Linked DNA regions of Elephas maximus indicus. The protein of the gene in region 1 interacts with the protein of each later gene in a pairwise test. Links are inferred from orthologs where the notes say so. Each region holds a gene or a part of one and is shown on either strand. Other genes may lie near its edges. The genes, in order: GAD1 and HAAO.

The links.
Region 2: the proteins of GAD1 (region 1) and HAAO interact in a two-hybrid assay, tested with the Homo sapiens proteins (4 studies listed by BioGRID and IntAct). The two-hybrid records come from large-scale screens. The link is inferred for Elephas maximus indicus from reciprocal best matches to the Homo sapiens genes GAD1 and HAAO.

The regions. Positions count from the first base shown.
Region 1 is NC_064824.1:69,067,919-69,079,142, forward strand, and holds the start of GAD1 (glutamate decarboxylase 1), read left to right. Parts: upstream 1-5,872; 5' UTR 5,873-5,894; coding exon 5,895-5,976; intron 5,977-9,297; coding exon 9,298-9,360; intron 9,361-11,224.
Region 2 is NC_064844.1:19,957,781-19,969,250, forward strand, and holds the start of HAAO (3-hydroxyanthranilate 3,4-dioxygenase), read left to right. Parts: upstream 1-6,768; 5' UTR 6,769-7,856; coding exon 7,857-7,936; exon of another isoform or gene 7,937-8,215; intron 8,216-10,456; exon of another isoform or gene 10,457-10,977; intron 10,978-11,374; coding exon 11,375-11,453; intron 11,454-11,470. UniProt on the Homo sapiens protein: Catalyzes the oxidative ring opening of 3-hydroxyanthranilate to 2-amino-3-carboxymuconate semialdehyde, which spontaneously cyclizes to quinolinate.

The DNA.
Region 1 (11,224 bases):
ACAATATTTGCCCAAACGTAAATCACTGTCGTCTTTGATTAATTTCTTTAATATTAGAATATTTTCATCTTACGGACATCAAGGGAGAAGGGACCCTTTGACAATTATCTGAGGAATTTAACTATCTTCCCTTTGGGACATTGTTGTAATTTCCGGAGTCCTGTCTAGCGTTCTGGCTAGAACCCTGCCTCCCCTGTCACTCTTTTAACCCTTTCCTATGTCGCTGGAGTGAGTGTTGTGCGGTCTGTCAGACTGGGGGTGTTGATTAACTATCAATGAAGGTAAAAAATGATTTGGGAAACTATCTTTAAGGTACACGAACACATCGAATGAATATTAGCTCCCGCTTAAAAGCCGAATGTAAGGTTAAGCAACCCTTTCCCCAACCTTTGTATCGGGAGACCAAAAACCAAAACCAAACCCACTGCCATCGAGTCGATTCCGACTCATAGCGACCCTATAGGGCAGAGTAGAACTGCCCCATGGAGTTTCCAAGCAGCGCCTGTATCGGCAGACAGCCGTTTAAACGGTGAGCTCTGCCATTTTTTTTTCTTTTTTGATCATAGAGACTTAAAATAGACTTTAACGAGCCAGCTAAAACGAACCAACCCCGTAGGTCTAAATTACCTTTCCTGAATGCTAAAAATGCTAAATGCTCCAAAAAAAAAAAAAAAAAAGATTGACGTTTCTTATCTACTCACCTTGACGCGGACCATATTTTATACGTCAAAACCTCCCCCTCAGCCCGTTTGGGCGCCTCTTCCACGCCAACGCTCCTCCCAACCCCGTTTTTGCTTTGCGGGAAAGGCTTGGCCCCCCAATCCGGTTGGAGTATCTTTAAACCTCCTGGGGAAAGGGCATTCTAGGCGGAGGGTCGCGTTCTCAGGTCTCAGCCATCCTTGACCTAAGGGAAGGTTGTCCTTGGAGGACAGAATGGAGCCGCTGGAGCCGCGGGCTATCAAATCCCCAACGCCCGGGAGAGACTGGAAGGGTCGCAGAGCGCCCACTCCTTCTTCTGTCTCTGGTTCAGTGTTCCTATTTCTTCAAAGCACTAAACCTTAGATCAAATGGAAATGAAACAGCTGGGCGGATACCACTCCTTTCCGGCCCACACTTCACCTCCGGTTCCAGTCCCTGAAGAGGATTTCTTTTTTCCACCCCCATTATCCAAAACAACCTCCCCGCCTCCCCCGCAATAAAAGATAAAAAGAAAAATGAAAACACAAACAAAAAGACGGATTCCAAATGTTTTGAAGGGCCAAAAGACAACACGGCCACCCTTAGCCCAAATCCTAACCAGGGAGCGGAGGGGTAAAACACCGCACTCTCCAACCTAACAAAACAAACGCAGGATCTTCTGCCGGGAGGGAGGTAGACAGGAGCCCAGAGGGTTGGCAAAGAGCTACTGGCGGAAGCCAGCGAAACAGAGGGCTAGACTGAACCGAACAGCGGACGCTGTCCATGGTGCTGAATGAGCTGGGCCCGGCCTCAATGCTGAATAACTGGGATTGGATGGAATTCCAGGCCTCCGTCCCTTCCCATCCCCGCTGAGTCTGCGTTGAAAAAAAAAAGTGGGAGACAATTGAAAAGTAAATCAAAGCCATAATGTGCCAAGTCTGCCACTCTCCCTGCCTAATTGGAAAGTCAACGTCATGAGTTCAGAGAGCACTAGGGGCAATGTAAGCTCCACGAGAACAGTACCTGGCACATAAAAAACCCAAACCTGTTGCCATGAGTCAATTCCGACTCATAGCGACCCTATAGGACAGGGTAGAACTGCCCCATAGGGTTTCCAGGGAGCTGCTGGTGGATTCGAACTGCTGACCTTTTGGTTAGCAACCTAACTCTCAGCCACTAGCCACCAGGTCTGGCAGGTAGTAGGTGATTAATAAATCGTCGTTTAGCTAACTGATTACTAAGAAACATTTTTAAATTAACGACGAACTAGGGCCTTCATTGCTCCCTTCCCACCACAGCGGAGAAAGAGGGGGGCACTCACTTTTAATCTGTGATACCTACAGCCCTGGTGGCACAGTGGTTAAGAGCTACAGCGAGCTGCGGCTGCTAACCAAAAGGTTGGCAGTTAAAATCCACCTGCCGCTCCTTGGAAACCCTATGGGGCAGTTCTACTCTGTCCTATAGGGTCGCTATGAGTAGGAGTAGACTCGATGGCAACGGATATCTAGCCTTGTGGAAGACTCTCCCCTCGCCCCCCATGAGATTATTTTGCTGGCTAAAACGTTGGAAGTGAGCGTTTGTGACGCTGGGGTCAGAGGAGGAAGTAGTTGAAATGTTCTCAATCTGGTGCCACAGGTGAAGTAAACGAATCTTCCTTTCTGAGGAATCTCAGGACTTGGGAGAAGGTGAGGAGATGGAGGGCAAGCAAGCGTCTTCTAGGGAGAGTGGACACTGAGGGACACCGGGATTGTAGCCTCCTCCGGCCCGTCTCCTTGTCCCTCGCGTCTTGAATGATTTAGCATTGTCACAGGACTCCCTGATTTGTGATTTCTTTTAGGTAAAGCTTGAGAAAGGGTCTTAGGTGTAGGTGAAATTCGGCGCTTCGCTTGGTGGTTAATCGTGCATCTCAAACGACGTGGAGAACCTGGGCGGTTTAGGGGAACGTTTCCTGCACAGAGCGAGCACGCCCACCCTGCCCAGCCCGGAGCTCTGGCGCCCCGGCGGGCTGCGGTAACCCAGAGCCTGCGGTTCAGGATGCATTGGTGTCATTAAAAAGTGCCCGGGCTTTTCTTAAGAGGTGTAGAGAAGGTAACGGTATTTTCCTTAATATCAAGGGCAACGCGGTTATTTCAATCCTCACATTGAGCTCCCTCTTGGTGATCGGACTGTAACTCCTCAGGGCGGCATCTTCTATCTTCCTTAAGGAATTTTCGGTGATTTGTAAGACTTTCGGCGTTTCCACTGTGTCGTGGTGAAAGGCGATAAGTCATTCAAAGAGAAGGGACGGGCCAGCCGGGCCCCAGATGTACTATAAATAACCGCAGCCTGCTGCACCGCAAAGGGGAAAATCTGTGAAAACGAGGAAAGAGATAATTGGTTACATGGTCTCACCGCCCCGCCCCCCACCACCACTTTGTTTTGACCTAAAGGAAAGGAAACCGAGCGAGAGGAAAAGAGAGAACATATGCTAGTGAAGAGGGTAGCTGAGGGATGAGCGAGTTATAGAGCCCCGCCAGCCTCTCGAGGTGTTGGTTTGGGTGCCCAAGAAAAGACCAGGCGAGCAAAGGGCCTCTCGGTCTCTGGGCGCCTGGCGCCCTCTGGTGGGAAATTTTTCGATGAACGCCTTTTTGTTGCGAGGGGAATTTCCAAACACAACAATGCATTAAATATGTTTAAATATTGCAACAAGAGAATCCTAAAACGGCGTGAAATCGAAAGGAGAGTGAGGGGAGTGGGCCAAGGCGGGAGGGCAGTCCGCCCTCAGGCAGATCCCCGGCGTCACCTCTGTGCTCGGCTTTCTCTTGCATTAGGAGCGGCGCTCGTGCGTGTTATTAACCTTCAGACGTGATCAATCAGGAGGGCTCCTTTCCCCTACCACCAAGGTGGCCAGAGCTAGGAAGGGAACGCACACTGAATGGAAAAAGAGGCCGTTTCTCTGCCGGTGGCACCGGGTGGTTGTTCTCAGGTGAGGCGGCTCTACTTTCTAGAGACCCCAGGTGGTTGAGGAAACGGGGATGAGGAGATGAAGGTTCTCCTATGGTCTGAGCATTTCCCCCTCATCTCTGTCTCCTTTGGCTCTACAACAATTGTGGCTCAGCGGAGAGCCAGAAAGGACACGACCCAGGGCGCGTTTTCGCAGATCTGGGGGAAAGTGATTCAGGCAAACCCACTGCTCCGGTCTTCTGGGAGATATTGGGGGGCGGGGGGCGGGGAGAAGAAGCGCTCAGGGTGGCGGAATTCATAGGAATTATCTTTTCCCTCCTGTCACCCGACACCTTGCCTACTTAAAAAAAAAAAAAAAGAGCATGTTGAGTACGTACTGGATTACTCATAGGGCCTTTTTCCCCACCCCCCGGGGGGAAAACCGTGATCTGTATTTATAATCGCCCTATAAAGCTCCAGAGGCGGTCAGGCACCTGCAAAGTACCCCGCCGCTTTGCCGACAAGCGGCCCCCGCAAGCAGCTGCCTCGTGATTCCCCCGCGGAGCGGGTCCCCGCCTCCCCACTCCGCCCCCGCCTCCCCCGAAGCCAAGCAGCCGCCTCTCCGGATCTCTCTCTTCTCCTATTGAGGCTCGCGTGCGGGACAGAGCCAGCTAGAGGCAGGCGGCGGCTGGAGGTGACGCCGGGCAGATTACGCCTGGGGCAGGATCCGGCCAGGAGGTGTTGAGAGGTTTTCTGCGCGCTGCGCGGAAGAGCGTCGGGAGCGCCTGGCTGGTGGCAGCCGAGTCTAGGTGGGTAAGCGCGTCGCCGCCCGGACTTCCCCAGCTCCCAGCCTCTGCCATTCGGCTGGGACTTTTTCGCCTGTAGATTCTCGGTCACCCATCCCTATTCCCTAGCGAGGGGAATGCGTCCCGCCCGCCCCAGCCCAGGCTCTCGGTTGGTGCCGGGCTCAGAGACCTCCGCCCCCCGCACTCTTCCTACCCCCGCCCTAGGCAGGATTCACGCCTCGTGCTGACGTAGGGCTAGAGAGATTTTTCCCTGCTTCTCGCGGCTGAGAATGCCGGTGTCGGCAAGGGGCAGCACGCAGCAGCAACACAAGGTGCGTCTCGGAGTGGTAACCTGTTACTTCCCCAGCAGCCGCGATCTGCCAGCAGCCCGGCGTTACTGTAAGCTCTGTACGAGTGCGCGCGCGGGGCTAAGCGTGGGGTCCTGGGCTAGTGGAGGTGGCGGCCCGCCCACGCTCCTCTGCAAGGTCTTAGGTCTACCCAGATTCGCCTGCACTCTCTCTGTCCCGGGGCTTTCGAACGCCATCGCGCCAACGCCGCGCGCCCAAGTGTCGCGCCGCGCACAGTTCTTTTCTTGTCTGCCGCCTCCTGCGCGCTGGGTGCAAGTTCGTTTCTCTGGTAATTCTTCCCTTTTTTGCCTCTTCCACCCCCTTGGGTCTGTATGGCGAGAAATGTGGGGTTCTCGGGGAGCTGGGTGCAGGGGAAAACACTGAAATCAGAGCTGTACCTCGCCCTAGGCTTCCAGATGGCTCAAAGAGGGGTGGGACGAGAGCGAGACGAAGGAGGTTCCGACCCGCTGCTTTCTGGCTGTCTGGAGTGCAGGGTGACCGTGGTTCTTCCCCAGCCAAGTCCAAGAGAGAATGTAAAGGAATCGGCCTTTTTTTCCCCCTCTCACTTGGCCTCACCAAGGTCCCCGGTCCCCGGAGCAGATAGCATCCTTCTTTCCAGGGAATTAGCCAGACACAACAACGGGAACCAGACACCGAACCAGACGTGCCCGCCCTGTGCGCGCTCCCCCCGCCTGCCTGCCAGCCCGCCCGCAGCTGAAAGCCCAATGGGGCTTGTCGAGGCTCGGCTCGAAAAATCGCACACTATCCTCCTTTGCCATCCTAGCCCGGTCCCCCGTACCCACGCGACGCTCACAGGCCTTGGGCCCCCTCGTCTCAGCACTGCGCTCCAGGTCTTCCCGCTGCGCGGGACTGGAGAGCCGCCCGGGGCTGCGTTGCCAGCGCCCCAGTCTCCGATCTCGCACGCAAGTCTTCTCCTCCCTCCGGCCCACCCCAGCCCAGCGCACTCGCTGCCTTTCCTCCCTCCTTTCTCTTGTGCTTGGGGACTCCAGCCCGAGCGTCCGTGTCCCCAGCGGCTCAGCTATCTTTCGCGCGCGAATCCCCAAAGCCCTCCACGCACAGCTCTCGTTTCTCTTTGCAGCCTTTTTCTGCGCCCAACCCACCGAGGATTCCGGACAGCAGAGGCCTCGCGACGAACTAGCTGATGGCGTCTTCGACCCCTTCCTCATCCGCCGCCGCCTCGAACGCGGGAGCGGACCCCAATACTAGCAACCTGCGCCCCACAAGTAGGTCCCGCCCTAGTTTCCGGTCAAATGGACTGCGGGAAAGATGAAGGCACTGGGAGTTGGGGAGGCTGCGTTGGCAGAAAGAGGAGGAGCGCGGAGATGATGGAGGCCGGGAAATAAATAGGGCTCTGACCCGGGGCCCGGCCAGAGGTCACTCGGCTGCCGGAGACGCTGGGCGGCTCCCTGGGCGCCCGAGAGCGATAGACGTGCAAGGTCGCTGCACTGGCGATGGTTGGGGGCTCCACTGCGAGGGAAGGACCTGAGGCGTGAGTGTTGTTTTTGTTGTACTGTGTGTGGTTTCCTTGCGCTGCGGGACAACGAGGGTCAGGGCAGGGGGAGGTGTGAGAAGCTGAGAGCCCCAACCGGGATAAAAAATTTTCTCTCTCGGGCTTTCGCTGGGTCTAGATCTGACCTCCTCCCTTCTCCCAGCGCTGTGCTCACAGTCTATAATCAGCGGAAATGTCGACGTTAATTGCAGCTTTTAGAAAACTCAGAGTCCCTAATTGCTCCAAATTTGCGTTGAGCTATTGACGAGTGAGGGAGAAGCCAGGGGCGGGAAAGGTGCATAAAACGGCTGGAGGCTGAGCCTCGACATTTCAGACAATTAATTACATCTCAGAGACAAAAAAAAAAAAAAAAAGTGGGCAGCATACTGAGTGGCGAGGAAGGGGGGACGGGAGGAACAGGAAGGTTTGCTAGGGCGGGCGGAGAGAACTCCCCTCTCCTTTCTCCGGTGTAGGAGACCTGTCAGCAGGAGACACGCCCGGAAGTTGGAGGAAGAGGAAGGGGGGATTTTCGCTGCCCTACCTCTAGCTGAGCTCGTTCTTCAGCCGGTTTCCAGAATGTGTCTTTAATTGATTGATTCCCTACCTCTCTTTAGAGGCCTGGGGATAAGAGGATTGCTTTTCTTTTTCTATGTTAAATTAAAATGTCTTCACACACACACACAAATCTATCAGCTGCAGACCGTAAGGGCCTCAGAATTTTTTTATAGAAAGGGTTTAGGAACAAGCTTGTGGTTTAGAAGGAGCTTATTGCTGTGCTTTTATGTCGCTTCCTATAAACTTGAGAAAATGTCAGTTTTCATAATCAACAAAGGGAGGGGGCTGTTAGCGGTAAGCCCCCTCTCCAGCTCCTTGGCGCAGTCACTGGCTCCCAGGCATAAGGCCTTGTCTTAAGTCCTCAGGCTGCGTTCCAGTTCCCTTTGAGACTGCCTCCCCCTCCCTCAGCCCATAACCCCCAGGCAGGCTAAAATTACCCACACAACAAAGAGGGGCTCCGGAGCGCCCCCAGGCTTGGTGGCACCGGAGGCAGAGCTGGACCGAACAGCCCCAGAAGAACGAGAGGCTTGTGTGCCTTTTGTCTGTCCTCCTCTTTTCCTGTCCTCCCTGCATTTCCCACCCCATTTTTTGCTGCCCGGCAGGGCTTGGCGGCTGCTGCTTTCATCCTTCCTACTAGAGTCATTTCTCCCTTGGTCGTGCGCTCCCACTTCTCGGCGCCCGCCGGCCGCGGCATGTAAATGCCCGGCCTAGGGTTAAGACCCAACAGAGGCACTGACCCTAGTCGGCACGCGGCCAGGGGCGCCTCGGAACCGCCGAGGCGGAGGGAAGAGAGCCGAGGTCCGGCCAGAGAAGAGCAGGCAGCAACCGCCCCCTAATAGCCCACCCCTAGTCGCACAGTAGAATGCAAGCGTATGTCCTGCTCTTCTCCCGCTCCGGCCCTCCCTGCAGACTTACCTTCGCCCGCCTAGCGGTCTCCGCTTCTCTGCCTCTCTCAGGTCTCCTGGGAGGTGGCTTTGCTCAGCCCGCACGACCTTATTGGCCTTTTGCTCCAGCGATCATCTGGTTCCGGGACGGAGTCCTCCTTGACCTCGGCCCCTCGGTCTTCCGGACTGTCGCTACACCACGGAAGCTCTCTAGCTCCCTCTGCTCGTCCCCCTTTTTCTCTTGCTGAAGCCCCCAATTCTGAAAGGCAGTGCAATGTGTCTGAACTCCAGCCTCCCAGCTGGGTGACCTTGGAAAACTTACTTGCCCTCTCTGAGCCTTAATGTTATTTGCAAAATAGGTCTTAGATTAACACTCCTCCTACCTGTTTCATAGGGTCGTTAAGAGGGTTAGATGAAGTAGTGTTTATCTGGTGGAAATAGTTCAATACCCGCCAGGTATTAATATTAGGGTTTTGCTTTCGCACCGATTTCCTGTCTGTCGTGGAACCCCATCTGTGACATGCTGTCTTACCGACGTCGGGCTATTTCCTCTCCCCGCTGTGTCTCTGTTGTGCCTGGGATTTAATGGATGTCACTCTCCTTATCACAGTTAACACTCGCGCTGAGCTAGAGGCGCGGGCCGGGGTGGGGGTGGGGATGGGAGTGATTGGAGGCGTTATGAAGTATTGGAAGGGGATTTCGCTCAGGGCCCACCACACGGACCCAGACGGCGACGCAGGCCGTACAGGCATGGGGCTGCTTTCCTTGCTCATTGCTGCAAGCTGAACCCGAAGGCAGGTAGACCCTGAGAACAGCTAATCCGGTCGCCCTTGGGGCCACGGCTCGGCCCTAGAGGAAAATTCCTGCTTTTCTTCGCTTTTGCCTGCTCCGGGCCTGAAATGCTCGAGACTCAGGTCTGGGGCACAGATGCCGGAAGGGTTAATGAGGGGCAGGTTGGGAAGGGAGGTCAGGGATGAGGACCGGAGGCGCACTGATGTCTTCCCGACTCCTGGTCCGACTGAAGGGCAGTCATGCGAGCCCGATTATCTAGTCAAATACTGTTTTTCACCCAATTAATTCTTGAACTCTTCGGCGACCCCATTTCATGCCAGTTTATTTTAAGCTGCCACTCGGCTGGAGACCCGCCAAGAAATTATGAGACGTTTCGGTCCCAGATGCCTCGGTGTTCCCTTTCTGGGCTGCTGTGGTCGTCCTTGGAGTCTGAGGGGCAGAGACCAGGGGGCAGGGCCTGGCGGGTTGGGGTTGTGGACCACGAGGCTTGGCGGTTTCCGAGCGGAGTCGGCTCCGCCCCTCCCGACCCCGCCTCCCTGACTCCCCCCGGGGTACCTTGGGGTCTGGCAGGGGCGCTGGATGTGCCGCCTCGCAGAAACACTGTCGGTACCTGAAGGCGGGAGGAGGAAGGGGGTGTGATGAGGGCTCGTAGGGCACGCGTCTGCTCGTCTGCCACAAATCTTATCTGCTCCTTTCAGGAAGGACCTTCTAATAAGGGACAGTGGAAAGGAATCCCCGCCCCCCGAGAAAACCTTTGCCCTTGACCCTGTCCCCCATAGTCCGAGCTGCACTGACCGCACCTCTCTCGCTCTCTCTCGTCTTAGCGTATGACACCTGGTGCGGCGTGGCCCATGGATGCACCAGAAAACTGGGGCTCAAGATCTGCGGTAAGTGAAAGGGCCAGCGGGGGCTGGAGGGACGCGCAGGCCTTGTCTGTGTGGAGAGTAGAACGCATGTGGAGGGGGATCTCGGCTCTTGGGTCTGGTTTTCTAAGGTACCTGCAGACCCCACGCCCGACGGAGACGCTCCCACAAGGCCCTGAACCACCTCCGCCCTCCCAAGGCCTTTTCCCCTGGAGCCCAGACCACGTGAGACCCAGTTGAGGGACCACCGGGTGTCAGATCTGGGCACAAAAGCGCGAGGGCAGTGCCCCCGCGCGGTAGCCCAGCTCTCCCTGCCAGTGCCTGGGCCACCCTGGCAGGTGCGCTCGGTCCGCGTCTCCAAGGCTAAATAGAAAACGTGAACTGCTCTGGCTTTCCTGGCGAGCAGGCCAAAGGCGCATTATCTGCCTAAACCGGTTAGTGACCCGTCGCCCCATTCTCTCCTCCGCCAATTCCACCTCCCTTCGGTCCCCTGTCTGGGCGCATTGAAAGTGGCCTTCCGGACTTGAGGTTTTTGCCCCGAGATGCTGTAACGGATTCAGGTTTCGTTTTGGGGGCCTCCGAGGCAAAGGGAAAAGATAGCCTGCAGTCCTCAGTGGCCTTTTTGGGGGAGGTGGCGGCGGTCAAAGCCCGAGGGTTTGCCAGGCGTGCCCTCGCTGGCGAAGAGAGAAGGGAAAGAGCGCAGGCGGGGACGTGGGGCCGCGGGTCAGGCACGATTTGCCAAGAAGGAAGGAAAATAGATCTGCAGAGCTGGAAAGAAAAAAAACCTCCTGTCCGGAGAAGTGAGGGGCTGAAATGAATATGCTCCGGGGATTTTTTTTTTTTTTTTTAAAGGAAAAGAGGTTTATTGGAAGAGACACAGATGAGTGGCTCTGGCTGAACAATGAGGACTTGCTTTCTTTGCTACATTTCACCGTCTAAAATTCTCTAGCCTTATCGGGCCAGAAAATACGGCTGCCCCTGGGCAAGGGGTGGAGAGGCGGGGGAAGATTAACGAGGGGCTTATTAAGGACCCATCCGTCAGCTGCTGCGCGCGAGAGATAGTGGCGGAGCAGGCGCCGGGCAAGCACCCAGGGGCTCCATCGGCGGAGCTCTTGCCCCAGCCCCTGGCGCGCCTGCGAATCGGTCGGTGAGTGGGTGTTCTCTAGGCCTGAGCTTCCCGGCTTCCCGGGGCCTGTCCCGGGCCGCGAAGGTGGCGGCAGAATGAGGCCCGAAGAGAGAGGGGTTATTGAGCAGCCCCCTGGAATCATCCCTCTGGCCCACTTTTCTGAGTTTCTGTGGCCCTGTCCCCCTGATCCCGGAACCAGCGTTTACGTTGAGGAGGGGGAGCTCAACCCTCAGACCAAGCGATGTTTCAGGGAAAATCCCAGCCTCGCCGCGGGGCGGCCCCGGGGTTTGGCCCTAGCTCCAGCTTGGGTGGCCCACGGGGCAAAGCCGGGGCCACGTCCGCGCAGGGGCAGCTGGCTGCGGCCTAGCTTTGTTCTATAAATAGTCCACTCCCCCAGCCGCCATTCCCGGCTTAATGGCCCGTTTCGCGCCAGGTCTCTTCGGCGGCCGCCGTGCTCGGCTCCTGCAGCCGGCATTGTCATGCAGCCGGGCAAGCAGAACTGAGCCCTGGGCGCCCGCCGCGGCTGAGGACCGGGTGGCAGGGGGCGGCTGTTATGGAGGCTCAGCTCCGGGCGAGGGCTGCTTTCCCTCCTGCGAGGAGAGGGGCGAGAGGTGCGGTGCCAGGCTTGCCTCGAGGGGGCGGCCCTCATCCATCTCCGCCTCCTGGCCTCGGGACGGGTTCTGCGTCTTGCTGCCGGGCTACAGGCCCTCCGGGGTCCGCTGGAAGAAACGGTTTGAGCACTCCTTCCCGGGACACACCCGA
Region 2 (11,470 bases), on another chromosome or scaffold:
GTATGGTCTTTTTATGAGAATTTGGGGTCTGCATCCCACTGCTCTCCTGCTCCCTCAGGGGTTCTCTGTTGTGTTCCCTGTCAGGGCAGTCATCGGTTATAGCTGGGCACCATCTAGCTTTTCTGGTCTCAGGCTGATGTAGCCTCTGGTTTATGTGGCCCTTTCTGTCTCTTGGGCTCATAATTATGTTGTGTCCTTGGTGTTCTTCATTCTCCTTTGTTCCAGGTGGGTTGAGACCAATTGATGCATCTTAGATGGCCGCATGCTAGCGTTTAAGACTCCAGATGCCACTCTTCAAAGTGGGTTGCAGAATGTTTTCTTAATAGATTTTATTATGCCAATTGACTTAGATGTCCCCTGAAACCATGGTCCCCAAACCCCCACCCCTCCTATGCTGGCCTTCGAAGCATTCAGTTTATTCAGGAAACTTCTTTGCTTTTGGCTTCAAATAGATTTTATGTATATACACGCACCCGTTGCCATCGATTTGATTCCAACTCATAGTGATCCTATAGAACAGAGTAGAACTGCCCCATAGAGTTTCCAAGGAGCACCTGGTGGATTCGAACTGCTGACATTTTGGTTGGCAGATGTAGTTCTTAACCACTACGCCACCAGGGTTTCCTATAAAAAAATTATATATATATATTTACAGAATTTCTGGCTACTGTCAGTGGGAGATCCTTCTTTGTTTCCAACTTTCGTGTTAAAATCACCAGTAATTATCAATGCATCTTGATTGCATGTTCGATCAATTTCAGACTGCAGCAGCTGATAAAAATCTTCTGTTTCTTCATCTTTGTCCCTAGTGGTTGATGTGTAAATTTGAATAATAGTCGTATTAACTGGTCTTCCTTGTAGGAGTATAGATATTATCCTATCACTGACAGCATTGTACTTCAGGATAGATCTTGAAATGTTCTTTTTGACGATGAATACACCACCATTCCTCTTCAAGTTGTCATTCCCAGCATAGTAGACTAAAAGATTGCCTGATTCAAAATGGCCAATACCAGTCCATTTCAGTTCACTGATGCCTAGGATATCGATGTTTATGCATTCCATTTCATTTTTGATGATTTCTAATTTTCCTAGACTCATACTTCGTACATTCCAGGTTCTGATTATTAATGGATGTTTGCAGCTGTTTCTTCTCATTTTGAGTCATGCCACATCAGCAAATGAAGGTCCCGAAAGCTTTACTCCATCCACGTCATTAAGATTGACTCTACTTTGAGGAGGCAGCTCTTCCCAAGTCATCTTTTGAGTGCCTTCCAACCTGGGGGGCTCATCTTCCAGCACTATATCAGACAGTGTTCCGTTGCTATTCATAAGGTTTTCACTGGCTAATACTTCTCAGAAGTAGACTGCCAGGTCCTTCTTCCTAGTCTGTCTTAGTCTGGAAGCTCAGCTGAAACCTGTCCTCCATGGGTGACCCTGCTGGTATCTGAATACCAGTGGCATAGCTTGAGCATCACAGCAACATGCAAGCCCCCACAGTACGACAAACTGACAGACATGTGGGGCAACTATACACATGGACCTCGCCAGATAGAGCACACAGAAATCAAATTGACTACATTTGTGGAAAGAGACAATGGAAAAGCTCAATATCATCAGTCAGAACAAGGCCAGGGGCCGACCTGGAACAGACCATCAGTTGTTCATGTGCAAGTTCAAGCTGAAACTGAAGAAAATCAGAGCAAGTCTATAAGAGCCAAAATATGACCTTGAGTATATCCCACCTGAATTTAGAGACCATCTGAAGAATAGGTTTGACGCATTGAACACTGGTGACCAAAGACCAGAAGAGTTGTGGAATGACATCAAGGACATCATCCATGAAGAAAGCAAGAGGTCATTGAAAAGACAGGAAAGAAAGAAAAGACCCAGATGGATGTCGGAGGAGGCTCTGAAACTTGCTCTCAAACATCGAGCACCTAAAGCAAAAGGAAGAATTGATGAAGAAGAACCAAACAGAAGATTTCAAAGGGCGGCTCGAGAAGACAAAGTATTATAATGACATGTGCAAAGAGCTGGAAATGGAAAACCAAAAGGGAAGAACACACTCGATGTTTCTCAAGCTGAAAGAACTGAAGAAAAAATTTAAGCCTCGAGTTGCAATAGTGAACGATTCTATGGGGAAAATATTAAATGATGCAGGAAGCATCAAAAGAAGATGGAAGGGATACACAGAGTTATTATACCAAAAAGAATTAGTCAATGTTCAATCATTTCAAGAGGTGGCATATGATCAGGAACCGATGGTACTGAAGGAAGAAGCCCAAGCTGCTCTGAAGGCATTGGCAAAAAAACAAGGCTCCAGGAATTGATGGAATATCATTTGAGATGTTTCAACAAACGGATGCAGCACTGGAGGTGCTCACTCGTCTATGCCAAGAAATATGGAAGACAGCTTCCTGGCCAACTGACTGGAAGAGATCTGTATTTATGCCTATTCCCAAGAAAGGTGATCCAACCGAATGTGGAAATTATAGAACAATATCATTAATATCACACGCAAGCAAAATTTTGCTGAAGAGCATTCAAAAACGGCTGCAGCAGTATATCGACAGGGAACTGCCAGAAATTCAGGCCGGTTTCAGAAGAGGACGCGGAACCACAGATATCATTGCTGATGTCAGATGGATCCTGGCTGAAAGCAGAGAATACCAGAAGGATGTTTACCTGTGTTTTATTGACTATGCAAAGGCATTCTACTGTGTGGATCCTAACAAATTATGGACAACATTGTGAAGAATGGGAATTCCAGAACACTTAATTGTGCTCATATGGAACCTTTACATAGGTCAAGAAGCAGTTGTTCGGACAGAACAAGGGGATACCGATTGGTTTAAAGTCAGGAGAGGTGTGTGCCAGGGTTGTATTTTTTCACCATACCTATTCAATCTGTATGCTGAACAAATAACCCGAGAAGCTGGACTGACTACATGAAGAAGAACAGGGCATCAGGATTGGAGGAAGACTCATTAACAACCGGCTTTATGCAGATGATACAGCCTTGCTTGCTGAAAGTGAAGAGCACTTGAAGCACTTACTAATGAAAATCAAAGACCAAAGCCTTCAGTATGGATTGCACCTCAACATAAAGAAAACAAAAATCCTCACAACTGGACCAATGAGCAACATCATGATAAATGGAGAAAAGATTGAAGTTGTCAAGGATTTCATTTTACTTAGATCCACAATCAACAGCCATGGAAGCAGCAGTCAAGAAATCAAAAGACACATTGCATTGGATAAATCTGCTGCAAAGGGTCTTTTTAAAGTGTTGAAGAGCAAAGATGTCACCCTGAAGACTAAGGTGTGCCTGACCCAAGCCATGGTATTTTCAGTCACATCATATGCATGTGAAAGCTGGACAATGAATAAGAAAGACTGAAGAAGAATCGATGCCTTTGAATTGTGGTCCTGGCGAAGAATATTGAATATACGAGGGACTGTCAGAAGAACGAATAAATCTGTCTTGGAAGAAGTATAACCAGAATGCTCCTTAGAAGCAAGGATGGCGAGACTGCGTCTTACATACTTTGGACATGTTGTGAGGAGGGATCAATCTCTGGGGAAGGACATCATGCTCGGCAGAGTACAGGGTCAGCAGAAAAGAGGAAGACCCTCAACGAGGTGGATTGACACAGTGGCTGCAACAATGAGCTCAAGCATAACAACGATTGTGAGGATGGCGCAGGACCGGGCAGTGTTTCTTTCTGTTGTGCGTAGGATCACTATGAGTCGGAACTGACTGGACGGCACCTAACAACAACAAGAGAAATCAGTGGGAGGATTAGTTTGATAAAGCTGGTACGTCAATAGCTTGTGTGACCATGTAATTTATCCTCCAAGCAGGGCAATTTCTGAGAGCAAAAGGACGCACTATTAATAATACTGGATCAATAGGGTGCAAATTGTTGACTGTCCCAGACAATCTGGAACATATGGTCATCCCAATCATAGCTCCCTTTTGTACTGCTATGAATACATAAAACATAAGCAGGGAAACATCCTTGTAAAATTTTTCTAATTGTAGGAATATAAATGGGATGTGTGCCAGATATCAATTTTATTGCTTTTCTGCTCCAAATATGCCCTTCTTTGCACTGCTTTGTGATACTAGAGCTGGACCCTGAAAATGTTTCTGCTCTGCCAGCTGGTGCCAGTGGTAGACCTTGTCAGTAGAAGGTGCTAGAGGGCCACCCAAAGCTAAGGGAGCAGAGTTGCCCTCTCACTGGGCCTGTAAGGTGGAGCTGAAGCCCAGGGCCGAGGGTCCTCCATTCAGAATGTAGACAGTTTGGGCAACACCCTGAGTCTGAAGTTTGGGGCCATTGCCCAGATGGTCCCAGAGAACAGAGGATTATTTTCAAGCCTTGAGAGCCAATGTAATTGGTTTTGTTGGGTTTGGGGCTTTTTTATTGCCCATCGCTTCTTTTCCTCTCATTTCTCCCATTTGTAATGGAACTAAATGTCTATCTTGTGCCTGTTCTACCACTGTATTTTGGAAACAGATAATTTGTATTCTAGATTTCACAGGTTCACAGATGAAGAGGGATTTTGCCCCGGGATGGAATATGCCTTAAGTCTTACCCATTTAGATGGTTCAGAAGATGAGATTTGGGTCTTAGAGTTCATTTAAGACTTTTGGGATGATATGATGGAGTGAATGTGTTTTGCATGTGGGAAGGACGTGAATTTTAGGAAGCTAAAGGGGGAGGGTAAGGGAGGAATGTTACGAATTGAATTGTTTCTCCAAAAATATGTGTTGTAAATCCTAACCCCTATACCTGTGGTTGGAGCCCTGGTGGCTCAGTAGTTAAGAGTTCAGTTGCTAACCAAAAAGGTTGGCAGTTCGAATTTACCAGTTGTTGGATTGAAACCACTTGGAAACCCTATGGAGCAGTTCTACTCTCAGGTCGCTGAGTCGGAATCCACTCGACAGCCATGGGTTACACCTGTGGTTATAATTCTGTTTGGGAATAGGATTTTCCTTGTTATGTTAATGAGGTAGTATTAGTGTAGAGTGTGTCTTAAATCAACCTCTTTTGAGACATAAAAGAACAGATTAAACAAGCAAGCAAACACAGAGGGGAAGGTACACACCACTTGTTGGCAGAGGAACCTAAGAATAGGAGCTGAAAAGAAACAAGGACCTTCCCTCAGAGCAGACAGTGAGAGAGTGAGCCTTCCCCTAGAACTGGCACCTTGAATTCGGACTTCTAGCCTCCTAAACAGTGAGAAAATATCTGTTCATTAAAGCCAGCCATTTGTGATATTTCTGCTATAGAAGCACTAGATAACTAAGACAAATACCCTACATAAGCAAACTATATAAGCAGAGAATATTCTTTTCATAAAAACCTGAAACATTCATAAAAATTGACCATAACACTAAGCTGCAAAGAAGATCTTAGTATATTTCTCCACCCAAAAAGTAATATATAGGCCATCTTCATTCACCACAATGGCAATAAAATTTGAAATGAAAGACAAAATGGTAACAGAAAAAAAAAAAAAAACCCATACATCTAGAATTTTTTAAACAGCTTTCTTCTGAATGATGCCAAAACACCTAGATAAAACGGGGACTGTCAGTTTTCTGAACGTTGCATTTGAATGGTTCCCAGCACTCAAACTAGGTGGCTTGCCAGTTGAGTAGATACAGGGTTTTGTCTACACAGCACAAGCCAGAGGGCATATTTGACACTGATAGTAGTTTAAACTGTGTAGAAGGTTAATTTGGATTATTCAGACCCCTGCCCCCCCAATTCCACTGTGGACTCAATTATTTACAATATTTTACTACATCGATTAAAATACAGGCTAACTATCAATTCTTTCCTTTGTACTACGTAACTGAACATCTGTTGGGCTGAAATCAAATTTTCCCCCTTTTAGTGTGAATTCATTCATGCCTTCATCCACCCACTCACCCATCCATCCACTTAACGAGCATCCAAACCAACATAACACCTCATAGATCCTCGGTGTTTTGTGTGTCATTGTTTACATCGCCTCTGATTCCTGGTAGATGAGAAAGATGAAGAATGTGGCTGGGGTTAACTCTGCTGCCAAACAATATTCTAGAAAGAAATACACCAACTAAAATGTTCTAGATAAATAAGGAAAAAGAAAAAGGGAGAGAAGAGGAAACAGACACGGGGGTCCCCCGAGGAGGTGGGAGGAATCCTGTTTGGCATCTGTTTGGGTTTTCTCTTCCACCAGGGGAGTCTATGTCTGAGGGTGCTCTCAAAACCAGCCCACCCCAGGCAGCACAGAGGAGGCAAGGTGGGCTGAGAGAGCAAGCGTTGGGGGGAGTTTAAAATGCCTTAAACTCTATATAGTCTGGACCCTGCGGTCTGGGTCCTGAGCTATTTTCCTTCTTCCCCACCCACCAGCTCCCCACTCCATCCCTCTCTAACATACAAACGCAATTTTCCTAAGAATCTGAAGTCCTGAAGAAAGGGGAGAAGGGCATATTATCTTTCGCCTTCCTCCACACCCCCCGCCCGTTTCCTCCACAGCACACCCACACACCCACACCCACACCCCCAGATCTCTCCCTCCCCCAGGATAACGGCGTTAGGGTTCCCCACTCGGGACTGGAATCATCTTCACAGGTTCGTCTGCCACCTCCCCTCCCCCCCCAGCACTTACACACACACTCGGAGATTCCTGAGGGTGAGGACACAGAGTGGCCCGTTTCTTCGTCTGTAAGATACGGCGGCGACCCCTCCCTCCTAGGATTGTTTTGTGTTTTGTAAGGGGCTCAGCGCCGGGCACAGCGTGCGTGCTCACTACCAGGCCAGCCGAGAAGACTGCGCCCTCCAGCCCGGAGCCGCGGTGCCCGCGCTGCGCCCTGGGCGCCCGCGGCCGACCCCCGCAGCCCGGCGCCCCAGACTCCCGCAGCCGGGCTCCCGCCAGCCTCTCCTGGCGTCCCGAAGGCAGAGCAGAGCGCGAGGCACTCAATAAATCCGGACTCTGGTCTGACCTCCCTCCCCGGGAGAGGAAAACCCAAACCAAACCCGAACCCGGTGCCGCCCAGTACATTCTGACTCAGTCGACACTACAGGACAGAGCGGAACTGCCCCATAGGGTTTTCAGGGAGCGGCCGGTGGTTTAAACTACTGACCTTTTGGTTACCAGCCGAACTTTTTGACCACTGAGCCACCAGGGCACTGACTGGGGACTGTGGCCACCCTTTGCATTCTCTTTCCACTCCATGCGCGCTACTATCCTATGAGATGGTTGTGCAGCCATTCCCATTTTTCAGATGGGAAAACTGAAGCTTAAACCCAGTGCAAACACACAGGTACTCAGGCGCTCCCCATCACAGTGTTTTTGCGGGGCCTCTCTGGAGCCCAGATGGAAAATCTGGAGATAAGCGACCAGGAAGGGTATCGAGCCCGTGTCTTGCGCCTGATATCAGGCTCCTAACTCGCGCACGGGTGTGGGGGCGCCCCCAGGATGTGAGGCGGGGTCTGGGAGGGGTCCGCCCGGGAGCGGAGCCCCAGTCAGCGGAGAAGTAGGGGGCGAAGGGCGTGCCTCTGCGTGAAGCGGGACCCCTACACGCTCCGGACCCTGCCCGCCGGCTCCCCACCGGCGCTGAGTCCCCAGTGCTCAGCAAGGACAAGGCCTCAGGGCAGCGCCGAGGGTAGGGGTGCTTCAGGCCAAAGGCGGGACCCTAGCCCTCGGCATCGCGGTGTCTTGCGGGGGAGTGCTTCGCCCTTTGACCCTGGAGATACTGATTAACCGGGCGGCCAATAGGCGGCTGGGTGGCGCAGCGCTCCTCCGTCGGCCTGGGAGGACACTGCTCTGAGAAGACCGTGGTTCCCGGGGAGGCCATGGAGCGTCCCGTGAGAGTGAAGACTTGGGTGGAAGAGAACCGGGCGTCCTTCCTGCCCCCAGTCTGCAACAAGCTCCTGTGAGTCCCAGGCACCCTACACCCCTACTTCCACCCTTGTGTTCTCCCTCCTTCTCTGTCTGCACCCTGACCCCTCACCCGAAGCCTGCAGGAAGGGGGCTGTCATTCTCAGGGTGCCTTCAGGGAGTGAGGACGCGCTGTTCCGGGTCCCACCACCCTCCATCTGTTCCTCTTTCTGGTGACTCTGCATAGTTTTGGTAAGAACTGTGACCTGTCCTCTGCGGATGGCTGGAGTAGTCCCACCTCCTCCCCTTAGGGCTGAGGAACAGCTGTCCAACCGTAAGTGACCCCCCAGCACTTAGAGAAAACTGGAAAGTTTGAGGAGGGTGATTTTCCAAACCAAACCAAACTAGTTGCCCACCAGTCAATTCCGATTTATAGCGACCCTATAGGACAGGTGGTTTATAGGACAGAGTAGAACTGCCCCACAGGGTTTCCAAGGCTGTAATCTTTACCAAAAGCAGCCCGGGTAGCACAGTGGTTAAAGGGTTCAGCTGCTAACTGAAAGCTTGGTGGTTCGAACCCATCAGCCTCTCTGAGGGAGAAAGATGTAACAGTCTGCTTCCATAAAGATTTACAGCCTTGGAAACCCTATGGGGCAGTTCTACCCTGTCCTATAGAGTGGCTATAAGTGGAAATCGACTCAACAGCAGTGGCTTTGGCGGTTAGTCTTCACTGAAGTAAACTGCCACATTATCCTCCCACGGAGTGGCTGGTGGGTGGGTTTGAATCGTTGACCCTTCGGTTAGCAGCAGAGTGCATAACCACTGTCCCACCACAGCTCCTCAAGGTGGTTTTAAATGACCCCAAGTTGCAGTAGTACCCAGGTCTGCACGCAAAGGGTGAAGTCAGAGGACCAGCTCTTTCCCCATACACACTCACACCAGGCCTCCCTAAAGCCACCTCTACCTGCAGCTCCTGACAGGGCTGACCTCAGTCTACCTTTCTCAGGCAGACCTCTTAGGCCCTCGCCTGTATCCATCTCCTCCCTCTTCTTCCCACAATTCCCTGGGGGGCCTGGTGAGCTCTCAGCTCATGTTCACGTGCCTGCAGGATAGCTCAAACCTCAAACAGTACAGTTAACAATTTCCACCCACATCTACAGGCCAGACTGTGCCAACTGTCTTTTCATCATCTTATGTAATTCTCATAGTAGCCCTATGAGGTGGGATTTTAATAAGTAACCTGCCCAGTGTCACAGAGGTAGGATGGGGCAAGTCCATGGAACACTTTGACTCTAAAGTCCACACTCTTGATCACTATGCAACATCACCATGGCTAATAGTCAACCTCTCCTCAACAACCTTGTCTCTTGTATCACTGCTGTCACCCCCAACTCAAAGCTTTATGGTTGTCTTTTTCTCTTTCCTCCACTCCTATCTCCCTCCACAGCCACGTGTTCTCAGTTCTCCACCTTCCCCCCTTGGGTGTATCTCACATTGGTCTGCTGTCCTCCAGCACTATGGTCACTGCCCTGGCTCCTCCCTCCAGCCAGGCAGTACTGACTGCCTCTACCCCCAGGACACTCTCCAGCCCTGCCCCAGTATTAAAAACCACAAAACCACAGGCCCCTCCCTTTACTCAGTGAACAGATATCTGCTGAGCACCTACTGTGGGCCAGCCACTGTTGTGGACACTGAGAATACAGCAGGGGACGAAACTGACAAAAATCCCTTCCTGAGGAAGCTGATGTTTAGTGGGAGGAGGCAGCTAATCAGTATAAACAAGTAAGGCAGGTGGATATGAGAGGCCTAGACATGGCAGGACCATAGATGTGGCAGGGCCCCAAAAGGCAGAGTAGAGACTGTGGCTTTCCTCTCAGCAAAATGAGAAGCTGCTGGAGGATCCAGAGCAGAGGACAGGCATGATCTGACTGGTGGTGGGTTGAAATAGTTCTTGAGTGGGCTTGTTCAAGAACTTTCTGTGTATTTCTAAATCATAGCTCAGTGAAGCTCATTTAAAAAAGAAGAAAGGAAGGAGGAAGGGAGAGAGGGAGGAAAGAAAAGAGAAATTTCCAAGCCTCCCTGGTATCTCTCAGATCAAAACCAAACTCAAGGCTGGAAGACTTGGTCCCACCTCCTGATCCAGCCTTCCCCGCCACTACTCCTCACATCATCAGGACCCAGCACCTTCACTGTGAGGGCATCTGTACCCAGTTTTCCCCTCCACTCCCTTCCCCAAATGCTTCCCAGCTTCTGTTCACTCCTCAAAGCCCCCCACAACTTTAAGCCCAGCTCAGGACCACTCCAGTCCAGCCTCCTCCTGCCAAGTGACCTCTGACCTTTCACATGTTGGGCATGACTCTAGGTGTGCATGTTTCTTGTTTATTGAGCCCTGTCTCCTGAAAGAGAAGGAAAAGCAAAGAATTTCCTGGCCCTGTGACCTTCTCTGAGCCCCTTTCAGCGTCTGTAAAATGAGAGGGTTGCACTAGGTTTATTTATTTTATCAAACACTTAAGTGGTGCTTACTCTGTGCTGGGCACTGTTCTGGGCGCTTAGAGATACGAATTCATGTAGCTCATATAAACTTCAGGAAGAACTCTCCATTTTACAGATGAGGAAACTGAGGCACAGCAAGGTTAAGTAATGTACCCAAGGTCCGTGGGAGAGCCAAATTTGATCCCAGGAGACTCATTCCAGAGCTGTGTGTTTTACCTACCGTACCACAACTCTGAGTCCATGGAGCCAGGCCTGGCGGGTTTTTGGAGAGTGGAGGTTCTCATAGTCAGACAGCTCTGGAGGATGAGAAAGGCCACTTCACCCTAGACGGCCCCCAGCTTGCTCTCCTGTAATTGGAGATCTTGAGCATAGTCCAGCAGCGGAGTACCCAGGTATGCCGTTAGTTTTAAATTGCTGAATGATCTCTCACAGCTGGTCAAGGAAGCCACCATGGCCAATAGAAACTGCTCATTGACGTCCTCTCCTCTCCCCCCAAGCGGCGCCCAGGGCATGCACCGTACCTGCCATACCCAAGATACGCCTCTGCCCAGGGATCCTGGTTGATGAAGAGAGAGCTCCCCACCAAGATGTTCCCCCTACTAGGTCAGAGGTCAGGGGCTGTGCTGACGATGTGGGACCTGAGATGCACACAGATGGACATACACAAAGACACAGACACGCACAAATACACTGAGACACACCCAGGCAGACACACACAGACATGCACACATAGATACACACAGAGCGACTCAGACACACACAGTCACAGACGAATGGACAGACAGACCTTAGATGCACACGGTCACACGCTGAGGATGGGAGCTGAGGAGGGACAAGCATGTTGGGAGACTAACAGGGACAGTGGTGCACACACAGCCCTGCTACCTTCCCCCAGGTGTCCCCCGGCTCCCTCCCTGCCCCCCACAGGCCTCTGCCCCGCTCCTGTCCTCACTCCCAGGAGCCACTTCAGGATCTCACCCCCCACCTCCATCCATTGCAGGCACCAGGAGCAGCTCAAAATCATGTTTGTCGGGGGCCCCAACACGAGGAAGGACTACCACATTGAGGAGGGTGAGGAGGTAGGTCTATGAACTGC